3 linked regions of the Mus musculus genome follow. The protein of the gene in region 1 interacts with the protein of each later gene in a biochemical or structural test. Links are inferred from orthologs where the notes say so. Each region holds a gene or a part of one and is shown on either strand. Other genes may lie near its edges.

Region 1 (3,754 bases):
TTTTTAATGATATTATGGCCCCAGATCCTCAGAGCGCCATGAAAACAATGTTTATGTGTCTGTTGGGGGTGGGGTGGGGATTGTTTTAGGTGATACAGCTAGTTAGGAGGAACTTGAGAGGCAAACCCTGCAGTCTGGCCCCAGAATTAGGAAAGGGCAGGGCGTGATGAAACTAAGGTTATGGGACTGGCGCCATTACACTTGTTGGGCAGAAGCAGGAAGTACACTTTGTATGTTGTACAGTTTGGTGTTTCCTGTGGACAGTGGGAAACTAAAGCAAAGGAGTAGGTGATTAGGGCTCTGTTTTGTGTGTGTGTGTGTGTGTGTGTGTGTGTGTGTGTGTGTGTGTGTGTGCCGATTGAATTCAAGTTGCCTGATTTGCATGGCAAAACCTTTATCCACAGAGCCATCTTACTGGCTCTCAAAGCTCTAGCCTTCTGAGGAAATCTGCTCAAGATTTCTTTCATTAGCATAATGATTAAAACATCCTTTTGCTTAAGTGCCCTGCAGTAAATCAGTGACTTTTTTTTTCTTTAATTTATCTGTTTTCACTCCCTGTGCTTTAAAAAACAACAATTATAGAGGAATCCTTGCTCACCCAGACAAAGGGGCACTAAAGATTAACAGACAAATACACCTCAAATGGTTTCTGCTAGCTTTTATTTGTGAAAGTTTACACAAACATCTCCAACAGGTGAGCCTGTATAAATCCCACATGCCTCTTCCCATTAACAAACAGAAGATGGCTCTGATGGGGGTTCATGACAATGGTAAGGAACAAGGTTTGTTGAAACTGTATGATTCTCAGTTATTTTGACTATGCTGGAACGGAGGGAAGCAGATAATATACCTGTTTATAAAGCGGATATGCTGTTGTGCACGCCTACTGTCAAAGGCAAATGCTCTTCAACTGAACTGAAAAGCATGTTGTCCAGTTTGGTTGTTTTGGGCATGATCAAAATGATCGAAAGGACTTGAAAGAATTTCAGTTCTACAGAGCTTAAGTTTATACTTGTTCTTGGAAACAAAAACATGGACAGAATGCTCTATTTTCTCCTCTCTGAAAAATTGACATTTTTCAGAAAAGAAAATAGAAATCTAATAGAGCGGCTGTCACTGCTCCTTAGGGGGGAAGGCACACGTCAGAAAACAGGAGTCTCTTGTTAGGCTAATGGGACAGACAGGCTATGGTTTTGCACTTAAAAGTCTACAAATGGATTTTGACCCCAAAGTTTATTCTTTTCATACTTACATTGTTCTCCTATCACTTGATATATGAATGTTACAGATTTCTGACCATCTGCTGTTGCCATGGTGAGGACTTGTATTCTAAGATCTTAGATCTTAGATCATTTTTCAACAGCAGATGGCACTATTGTACCAGAGAACACTTGATGCCATGCAAGAGGAATTTATGGAAGTCATAAGACAAAGGCTTTTGAGTTCATAGTAACTGGAACCTTAACAGCACAGCCTGAGACTTAACCACTACATCTTTCCCATCCACCTGCATACTTCATCCAGGTCATCCTAACGGTATTCTCTGGTAACTTCAATATTCCACTTCTTTACTGCAAGCCCTGTAATTCTCAGAACTGCAATTGAGATAAGCCCTGTAACAGGTCAGCAGGGTTAAAAGGTTACCCACTTTCCCAGGAGAAGTGGGAAAGACTTTAGATGATAAACAAGTATTTTTCCTGTTTACAAGCATTTGTACCCACCCCACCCCCGCCCCCGCCACTGGCAATCAGGCCCAGAGCCTTCTGTATGGTAGGTAGGCACTGTAAACTGGGGTACACTTTCCAGAACTGCCTTGAGGTACCTAAAACTTCCACCGAATGAACCTTGGCTTTGATTTTACAACATATATATTTCAAGTATTTACTATCTGTGACTTTCCCAGATGTCCAAGTTAAACCCCGTATATCCACATCTCAGAGATAACACTGAAGAACAGGAGTTAGATCAGTGATTGACCATACATGAAGGGCTGGTAAAATTTACTTATTTTTCCTGGTAGAAGTTATATGAAAAGTTCAAGCAACAACCCATTTGATAGAGGAACCCACACAGAACTCAACAGTGAAGTGAACAAATGACCCACATAGAAATGGGCAAAAGCCACCAACGGACATCTCACTGACAAGGACAGACAGATGGCAAACGACAAGAATGAGAAAGGATGCTCAACGCCATCTGCCATTAGGAAAATGCAAATTAAAACCATAATGAGATATTACAGGCATCCACTCAAGGGGAGAAGTTAAAATAGCAATGATAAAGACCACAGAGAATGTAGAGCTGTAACCTGCCATACAGCCACTCTAGACAGAGCAGGGAGGCTTCCTTTAGAACTCCATGTGCTTCCTACACAGCACAGCAACGGCCCTCTTAGGTATTTATCCCGGAGTGATGAAAACTTACATTCACCTAAGAACTTTAATAGTTAGGCCCAATCCCCAGGCCACCCACATGACCTTTAAGCACAATGCAGTACCATCCATAGCCTGGAGGAAAACCAGGATGTGCACCGCCTTGGAGAGGCACCTCATGGGAATTATGCTGAGTGGAGAAAGCCAACCTCCAAAGGTTACACTCTAGATGACCCATTTACATAACAGAGTTAGAGTTCAGAACAGGGCAGCAGATTAGGGAGCCAGAGCGGGGGGGGGGTGGGGGGGGGGGTGGAGAAGGGAGTGGCTAGCTGCAACACTGCAAATGAAGACCATGGGATGGAACTACTCTACCTGGAAATGATCGACAGGATCTACAAGTGATAAACTGGACAGAACTAAACACACATACACAAGGACTTCAAGCAGTTGAGCACAAACATTTTAATGGTCTAAAATGAGATTTTTTTAAGAGATTATCTACAGTTCAAAGCTCACCTTTTAATGTGTCCCACCCATGACCCTTTTAGGAGACATAAAATTATGAAGGATATCACCAGAAGCTATGTAAACATTTCATCTAAGGACCAAGAGAAGTTCAAGGTGTTTTCACAAGGAAACCAAAGAGACAACTGATATGAAAGAGCTGACCGCAGTCAGAGAAATCTTGGGAGGAGAACTAGAGTGAAGGACAAGGCGATGAGCAGGTGGGAGAGAAAAAGCAAACAGCTCAAACAGATCCTGTGAGGCGGGCGACCCAGGACGAAGGCTGGCTTTGGCGTTATCTAGGTAACCCCGGTTTGTTGTTTTGTTTTATTTTGTTTTCTTTCCATAGGCGACTTTAATAATCTTGTTGCAAAACCAGTCCAAATCCTACTGCATTAAAGTCCTCATTGACTTGTTGGGTATAGGTGGTGCCCATGTGCTCTCATACCAAAAGTATCAGTTCTGGCAAGAAAGCTCAGCTGTGCCTTGATGGTACTGTTAGTAGAATGGCCTTGGGCTAGGCCAGGCATGTCCCAGCGATGTTCTGCTGGCTCTAGGGGACAGAACACTGAGCCTCATTACTCTATCAACTTCTTGGCCTTGAAGAAGCGACGCAGGTAGAAGACCTGCCAGGTGGCTAGTCCAATGAGGCAGAACATGGAAAAGATGCTGAAGTACAGGACCCGGGTGTTCGTGGACTCTAAAGAAACAAAACAATGCAAAAACACTGTAAATGGAATGAAGTTAAGTTGCTTCAGTTTGGCTAAACAATGGCTAGGGCGTAAAGACAATTAGTTAGCCTCATTCTGTCCATAGGTCTCAGAGTTCAAACAATTAAAGCAAGCAAGCAAAAGTGAGTATGGTAACACACCTGT
Region 2 (3,650 bases), on another chromosome or scaffold:
TATGCTAGGTGCCACGTTAGAAACATAAGTGAGCTCCTCTGCTTCTCTGGGACATGGAGATGTAGAAGCCGGGAGAATGATACATTCGTGTGAAGAGGACAGGAGAAGGTGGGACCTATGTATAAGCTGACCCTCAGCTACACCCACCCAGCAAGCCTGGCTTGGGAGGATCCGTGGAGAGATGGGATACACATCCCTGCTTACCCTCAAAGCCACCCGGTGCACCACTTGCTGGGGGTCGCTCTCTAGGATCACCCTACAAACACAAAGAAGACGGTTGTTTGCTCCAAGGGACCAATTTGCTGTAAGTCAGGTTCACTAGCTGAGGGGCAGCCACCTCCCCTCCCCACTCCAAATACGGGCAGGGCAGAGAACTCACCCTCCATCTACAATTTCATCCACAGCCAAGAAGAGGCCCTCCATGTTCTCCAGCAAAGCTCGCTTTTCTACATTTTTCCTGAATCCCCAAAAGAAGAGGAAAAATTAGGTTGTGTGAGAAAGGAATTCTGGGATACTGTCTAAATAAGGGATCCTAACCCTAACCAGTAACTGCCTCCACCACCCACATGTAGAAGGGAGTGAGGTGAAAAAGAGCCTTTTATACCACTGAACAGTGACCAGAGTCTTGACATTCTGGGGGGGATCCCAAACAGCTAACTTCTGACTCCTAGGCTACTTATCCAGCATGCTGCTGCTGCTGCTGCTGGTGGAGGTGCTTGTAAAAAGACATAGAAGATAGGAAAAAAATTCATAGCTCATAATCTGGAGTTGGTGATGGTGGAAAGGTGGGAGGAGTGGGAATGCAAAACCCTCTGCGTTCAAGCTCCTTCTGAAGTCTCTCTGCCTCTCCCCTCCCCCCAGGTCTGTTCAAACCCTAAAACAAAGGCCAAGGAGGGGCTGGGAACAGCCAGGGGCTGCATCTACCAGCCTCAGATCCGGTGGTTGGTGCATGTGGCCTGTCACATCCGTCAGTATGACTCTTTCTCTAGATTACCCGAAATGAAGTCTATTCATTCACCTGGCTGGGAAATAAATCACCCCCTTCCTGAGGAAACCTGAGCCTCTGGCTGCTGGGTTGTGGGCTGAGAGCACCCGCTGTTCTACTCCACATGGATTTCTAAAATGTGTTCACTTTTAGGAGCTGCTGTGGCTGAAGTTCAGAGCCTTGAATGTTTTCAGAGAAAGTATCTTATATCTTCCCTTGCTTGTGTGCGTGGGAACAGAGGGCTACTGGGGAGGTAGAGGGCAAAGAGCACAGTGGGCCCATTCTGTGTCCAGGGAAAGACTATAAGGGCTAGCAATGGAAAATTGTGGTGTTTCCTCCTTTTCCAAGATAGGGAAGTTTCACCTGGGTCACTGGGTCACTTCCCTGGCCTTCCCCTCCTTCAAACCCAGCGGACAGGCCTAGGAAAGCATCTGGGGCTCAGAACACCATCAGAGTTACTGGACATGACAAGAGTAGGTACAGGCATACAGACGAGGTCCGAGTCTGTACTCCAAACTACTCTTGAAGCTGAAGCAGGGGTTACATGTTCAAGGGTTGCCTGGGTTACAAATAGAATCTTAAGACAGCCTGGGTAAATTTTTATTTGTGTATCAAAGACTCTAAGGTTAAAAGTTGATGTCAAGACACAAAAAGGCTTGAAAAGCTATAGATAATCAACCTCTCGATTATTTTAGAGCATCTGATATGCTCTGCTCCCAACTGAATCTTAAGCATGATGTGTTCTGGTGACAGGATTACGGTTCCTTTACATTAGTTTTCAGAATCAATCTTTCTTTCTTTCTTTCTTTCTTTCTTTCTTTCTTTCTTTCTTTCTTTCTTTCCTTCTTTCTTTCTTTCTTTCTTTTTTTTTTCCCCCTAGGACCTTGTCTTAAATTAAAAGAAAAATAAAATAAAGAAAAAGTTTAGGTGAGAAGCTCAGTGGTAGAACAGTTGCCTACCCTTGGTTCTAATCATCAGGGCAGCCAAAGGAAACAGAGAATAGAGTATTCTTCCTGAAGGACTCTCTTTCCTCCCTCAGTAAGAGAATGATTCCACATGAAGACCATTCTCTCCACCTAACCCTCCACTCAAATTAGTTATCCACAAACAGCAAGTCTATGTCTTACACTGAACCAATTCCCCAGTGTGGCTCAGATTTCCCACTAATCCCGGGCTCTAAGGAATAGGTATTTCCCTTCCAAATTTAAAATGAGAATGGCTGCTCACCTCAGCATCTGGCTCAGGGAATCGAAGAGGCAGTTCAGAACAGCCATAAGCATCAGCTGTTGAGAAAGGAGAAGGAAGGTTCAAGGCCCTAAAACTGCTACCCCAAAACAGACCTTCCACTTTTTATTCCTCACCAAAAAGCATAAGCTTTCACAAACGGCCAGAGACATAATGTGAAGGGCAAACACAACAGCAGAAGGACTCTGGCTTCTCAAAGAAGTTAGTTCTACTAAGCAATTCCACAAGTAGAGGCTTCTTTTTTTTTTTTTTTTAAAGATTTATTTATTTATTTATTTATTTATTTATTTATTATATGTAAGTACACTGTAGCTGTCTTCAGACACTCCAGAAGAGGGGGTCAGATCTTGTTACGGATGGTTGTGAGCCACCATGTGGTTGCTGGGATTTGAACTCTGCACCTTCGGAAGAGCAGTCGGGTGCTCTAACCCACTGAGCCATCTCACCAGCCCTTCTTTTTTTTTTAATTAATTAATTTATTATATGTAAGTACACTGTAGTGTGTCTTCAGACACTCCAGAAGAGAGCATCAGATTTCGTTACGAATGGTTGTGAGCCAACATGTGGTTGCTGGGATTTGAACTCAGGACCTTTGGAAGAGCAGTCAGCGCTCTTAACCACTGAGCCATCTCATCAGCCCCCAAGTGGAGGCTTCTTTAAGGCAGAAACTGAAACAGGACTTTGCTGGTATAGTCCTCTATAGACGATTATAGCACTCTGTGTATTTACTTTTTATTAAAGATTTACTTTTCTCTCTGTGTGTTTTACATGCATGCGCACAGGAGTGCCCATGGATTCCAGAAGAGAGCACTGGATCTCCTTGGAGCAGGAGTTACAAAGAGTATGAGCTGCCCAGCATGGGTGCTAGCAACCAAACTCAAGTACTCAGAAAGAACAGCAAGCATTCTTAACACTAAGCAATAGTTCCACCTGTGTTTTGCTTTTTTGAGGTAGTCTGTCACATAGCCCCCGTTGGTCTTGAACCACCTACGTAACTGAGGTCAATCCTAAATTCCTGATGATTATCCTGCCTATACTTCCCAAGTGCTGGGATAATAGGAGTGCATTGCCATCCCTCTCTGCCTCTAAGTCTTTTTAATAATTATTTTATTTAATGTATATACATGTCTGTCTAAAACTATGTGTGTATACCACATGTGTGCAGTACCCAAAGAGGCCAGAAGAAGGCACCAGAATCCCTGGGATTGGAGTGATAAAGACAGTCATGAGCTCCTGTGTAGGTGTTGGGAATCTCCCAGGTCCTCTGGAAGAGCAGCCAATGCTCTTAACAGCTGCCCTATCTCTTCAGCCCCTACCCCTACGCCTTTACCAAACTGCCTGATGGAAACAACTGGAAAAAAAAAAAAAAAAAAAAAAAAAAAGCTGCCTGATGGATTAGTAAAGAGAGAGATCTTTAACT
Region 3 (3,650 bases), on another chromosome or scaffold:
CACTCCACCCCACCCCCACCGCACACACTGAGGCACAACTGGGAGGCCTGGACAACTCTCACTGCTTCCCTGAGCTCTGGAACCCTTAAGGACATAGTGCTGCAGTAACTATCAATCACTGCATACATCACTAACTATACATCACCTGAGCCTCCTGCCAGGCTCAAGTGAACGCTCGGGTATGTAAGGCTTATACCTCATATTAGAGGCTCACAGACAGTGGCTGAATCTGAGAGTGTGGATGAGGGGGCGAGCCCTATAAGAAAAAAACCACAAAGCAGTTGTCTGACAGACCCAGGGGACTGAGTTGCTTCATCAAGGCCAGAGTGCTCTGCTGAGCACTCACTGAAGCAGAACGCCTTCCCAACCATGTTTGTAAACACACCCAGCCCCCAACTCCCAAAATAACTATCCCCACCCACCCACACACACACAAAACCTATCCAAGGCTCGGTGTGTCTCAACAACAGACTGCTTGCTTTGCCTAGCCTTGCCTTGTCTGACCATCAGCCCTGCGGAGGGATAAAAGTCAGGTGTGGTGGGTTACTGAAGGCCGAGGCAAGAGAATTACAAGTTCAAGGAATTAGGGTTATACATGAAGATTGTGCTGCAGAAATCTGCCTAGCCTTAATCACTGAGTTTCATTCTCAGCTCCATTTCCACAAATGTCTAGGGCAATATAAGCTTTGGCCATTTTTGAGCTAAACACAGGATAGCAAGTATTTATATATGAATTACAAAATAAGTTGCATGAAAATACTCTAGGGAAGAGTGGGCGCAGGTGCTTCAAGAATTAAGCAGTAGTGTTCATTATATGTACCATTTAATTTTGTATGTGTTGGGAAATTTCCAAGATGAAATGTAGACAGCCATTTTTTTTAACTTATTTTTTAAAAACGTTTATGTAGGTGTTTTGCATGCATGTATGTCTGTGTTGTGGATGGCACTGGGGCTAATTGTATTTGATGTTAATTCTGTTCTCCTGTGAGTGGCTGTGAACAAGGAATGAGTCAGCACTCAGGTGATTTCCTGTAAACCTGCTTCCCACCTTAATTTATAAATAAAGGCTAGAGACGGTGATTGGGCAGAGAAAGAGGGGCAGGTGAAGCTGAAGGTTTTGATGGAAAAGAGAGGAAGAGGGGGAGGGGAGGGGAGAGGATGAGGAGGAGGATGGAGAAGTAAGGTAGAGCGGAAGCACCTGGCCTTGAGAAACTGCAAGTTACAAGGGGTTCCTTCTACGGGGAAGATGCTAGTGTAGTGGTAGATCTGCCCAAACTAGGCGCACAGCATGTATTCAAATGAACTGAGTTGTGTTTTCATTACCTGGGCTTATTAGGGTTGGAAATTTACTGCAACATGTCTGTGTGAAGGTGTTGGATCCAGGGGAATTGGAATTACAGACAGTTGTCAACTATGGGTACTGGGAATTTTGTTTTGCTTTGCTTAGGTTTTTCTGGAAACTGTCTCAATATGTAGCCCTTGGCTTTAACTTACACAAAAGTTCCTGTCTCTGTCTCTCAAATGCTGAAATTATGGAGTGAGTTACCAGGCCAGGCCCCACACCCACTCTTCTAATAAAGTAAACAAAAAACAACAACAAAATAACCCCAATAAAGTTGATACTTAGATAAAGGAACATCAGACAAGTCACTGAAAAAGAAATATGAATAGAAGACACTTCATTCAAAATGCAAAAACTACCTTAAAAGTGCATCGGGGGCTGGGGAGATGGCATTTGGATCCTCAGCCTTAGACCACAGACCTACTGCTTTCAGATGACCAGAGCCACCATGCCACACCCTTTGCAGCCAATCCCATAGGATAAAGGACAAGGCCTAGCCAGGACTATGAGAGCACACAGGTGTTGCTGTGGGGGAAGTTGGATGGCGGCAGACAAAACCCAGTGGCACTCCCACCGTGAAGCTACTCAGGCCACAGACGTTTCTTACCAGCTAGCAGCAGCGTGTGGGTGTTCTTGTTTTCTGGCACTTTGTCTGACCTCTCACAAGGATGCATTCCCAGGAACTTCACAATATTGCCCACAGCCTCTGTAGGGAAAATCCCAGCAACATTAAGCCACAGGCATATGAGTATTTGTGTGCTTTTGTTGGGTGCTAGTGAAATCCTGGGCCTAACACATTAAGTATGCACTTCCCACCCCCACCCACCTCCCCCCAGTCAGTCCCAAGCTAGGTATCCCTTAAGGCTCTGGATTCTTGGTGGGAAGCGGGAAGGCACACTGGCCAGCCACAGTATCGTCAGAGATGACGTCAGCAGCACTTTACCTTCGAGTGTCTTGATAGTAGACAGGGTGAACGTTTCCTCCTTCTCAAATTCATCCCCAACCTCATCCCAGGCTGCCTCAAAGTTCACTTTCATGACTTTTTGGATGTGATCAGCCACAGTAACTTCCAGATCCTCCAGCTAGAGAAGCGGAGACACAGTTAGACTTTGGGAGAGACTTCCTGTTCCACATTTCTAGACCTCTGCTCTCAACTCCTCTCCTTCCCCCTTCCTTCCTGCAGCTCACTCAGCAGATACCTGCCACTGTGGGGACATGGTGGGCTTCAGGACACAGAGCAAGCCCGAGGTACACAATGTAAGTGGCACTGCTTCAACCGACAAGTCATTTCTCCAGCAGATTCTGTACTTCAACTGTGTCCTCCAGGCCCAAAATAGGCGGAACCCTATTGTCATCTCAGCTGTGAATGTGACATAACACTCCCATTCAGCCAGCCTGCACTAGCAGCGTCCATGCAAGGACTCCTTTGTTCATTCTTCCAACAGATCTTCACAGAAACCTGTTCTTGCAGATGTTTACAGGGCATACAGCAACCAGTGAAAGGCGCGCCCTAGCTATAGCTCCTGAGAGGAGAGGTCTTAAGGCAGTTCCTGCCTCAGTCATTTTGGCTCAGGAATGGCCGTCTCTACTTTGGTCCTTATTCTACACAAGTGTGAATGTCAGATGCATGCTAGTGACTAAGGAACTGTGGCCCAGCAGAGCAAAGGGGCCTAGCTATCTAGAAAGCAACATTACAAGAGCAATTCACGTCTTAAAAATCTTGCTTTCCTTTTGAGCCAATTAAAGAATTATCCTAAGAAAATAATCAGAAATGTGCTGGGCATGGAAGTGCGTGCCTTTAATACCAGAACTCAGGAGGCAAAGGCAGGCACATCTTCAAAGTGAGTCCAGGACAGCCAGGGTTCTGTTATACAGAAAAACCCTGTCTCGAATCGCCCCACCCACAAAAAAAAAAAAATCAGAAATGTATTTGTAAAAATCTGTACATGTCTGTGAACCAAAATCATGCAGCACCTGTAGAGGCCCAAAATTGGCATCAGATCCACTAGAACTGAAGTTATAGACAGTTCATTACTATGAGGGTGCTAGGAATTGAACTTGGTCCTCTTAACTGCTGATGCATCTCTTCAGTCCCAGACAGGATCCTCTTACCACATACTCATCCTCATAGCCTTCTTCATCGATTTCTCCTGTGTTGGGATCACAGTCCTTAACAGTGAACTTCATCACACAGCTGAACGTGCATGCCACTGTGGGGAAGAAGGGTTGGATGAAGATCAGGTGGCCATGACCTGCCCTTCAGGCAGCATTAATAACGGCTAACGTGCTATCAACCCCAGCATGCTGG

What was found.
Region 2: the proteins of Tmed10 (region 1) and Copz1 form a complex in vitro, tested with the Homo sapiens proteins (2 studies listed by BioGRID, with this or other methods). The link is inferred for Mus musculus from reciprocal best matches to the Homo sapiens genes TMED10 and COPZ1.
Region 3: the proteins of Tmed10 (region 1) and Copg1 form a complex in vitro, tested with the Homo sapiens proteins (2 studies listed by BioGRID). The link is inferred for Mus musculus from reciprocal best matches to the Homo sapiens genes TMED10 and COPG1.

The regions. Positions count from the first base shown.
Region 1 is NC_000078.6:85,339,971-85,343,724, forward strand, and holds the end of Tmed10 (transmembrane emp24 domain-containing protein 10 precursor), read right to left. Parts: intron 3,580-3,754; coding exon 3,458-3,579; 3' UTR 644-3,457; downstream 1-643. UniProt on the Homo sapiens protein: Cargo receptor involved in protein vesicular trafficking and quality control in the endoplasmic reticulum (ER) and Golgi.
Region 2 is NC_000081.6:103,293,340-103,296,989, reverse strand, and holds part of Copz1 (coatomer subunit zeta-1), read right to left. Parts: intron 2,269-3,650; coding exon 2,213-2,268; intron 458-2,212; coding exon 380-457; intron 257-379; coding exon 205-256; intron 1-204. UniProt on the Homo sapiens protein: The coatomer is a cytosolic protein complex that binds to dilysine motifs and reversibly associates with Golgi non-clathrin-coated vesicles, which further mediate biosynthetic protein transport from the ER, via the Golgi up to the trans Golgi network.
Region 3 is NC_000072.6:87,908,438-87,912,087, reverse strand, and holds part of Copg1 (coatomer subunit gamma-1), read right to left. Parts: intron 3,553-3,650; coding exon 3,455-3,552; intron 2,425-3,454; coding exon 2,286-2,424; intron 2,049-2,285; coding exon 1,950-2,048; intron 1-1,949. UniProt on the Homo sapiens protein: The coatomer is a cytosolic protein complex that binds to dilysine motifs and reversibly associates with Golgi non-clathrin-coated vesicles, which further mediate biosynthetic protein transport from the ER, via the Golgi up to the trans Golgi network.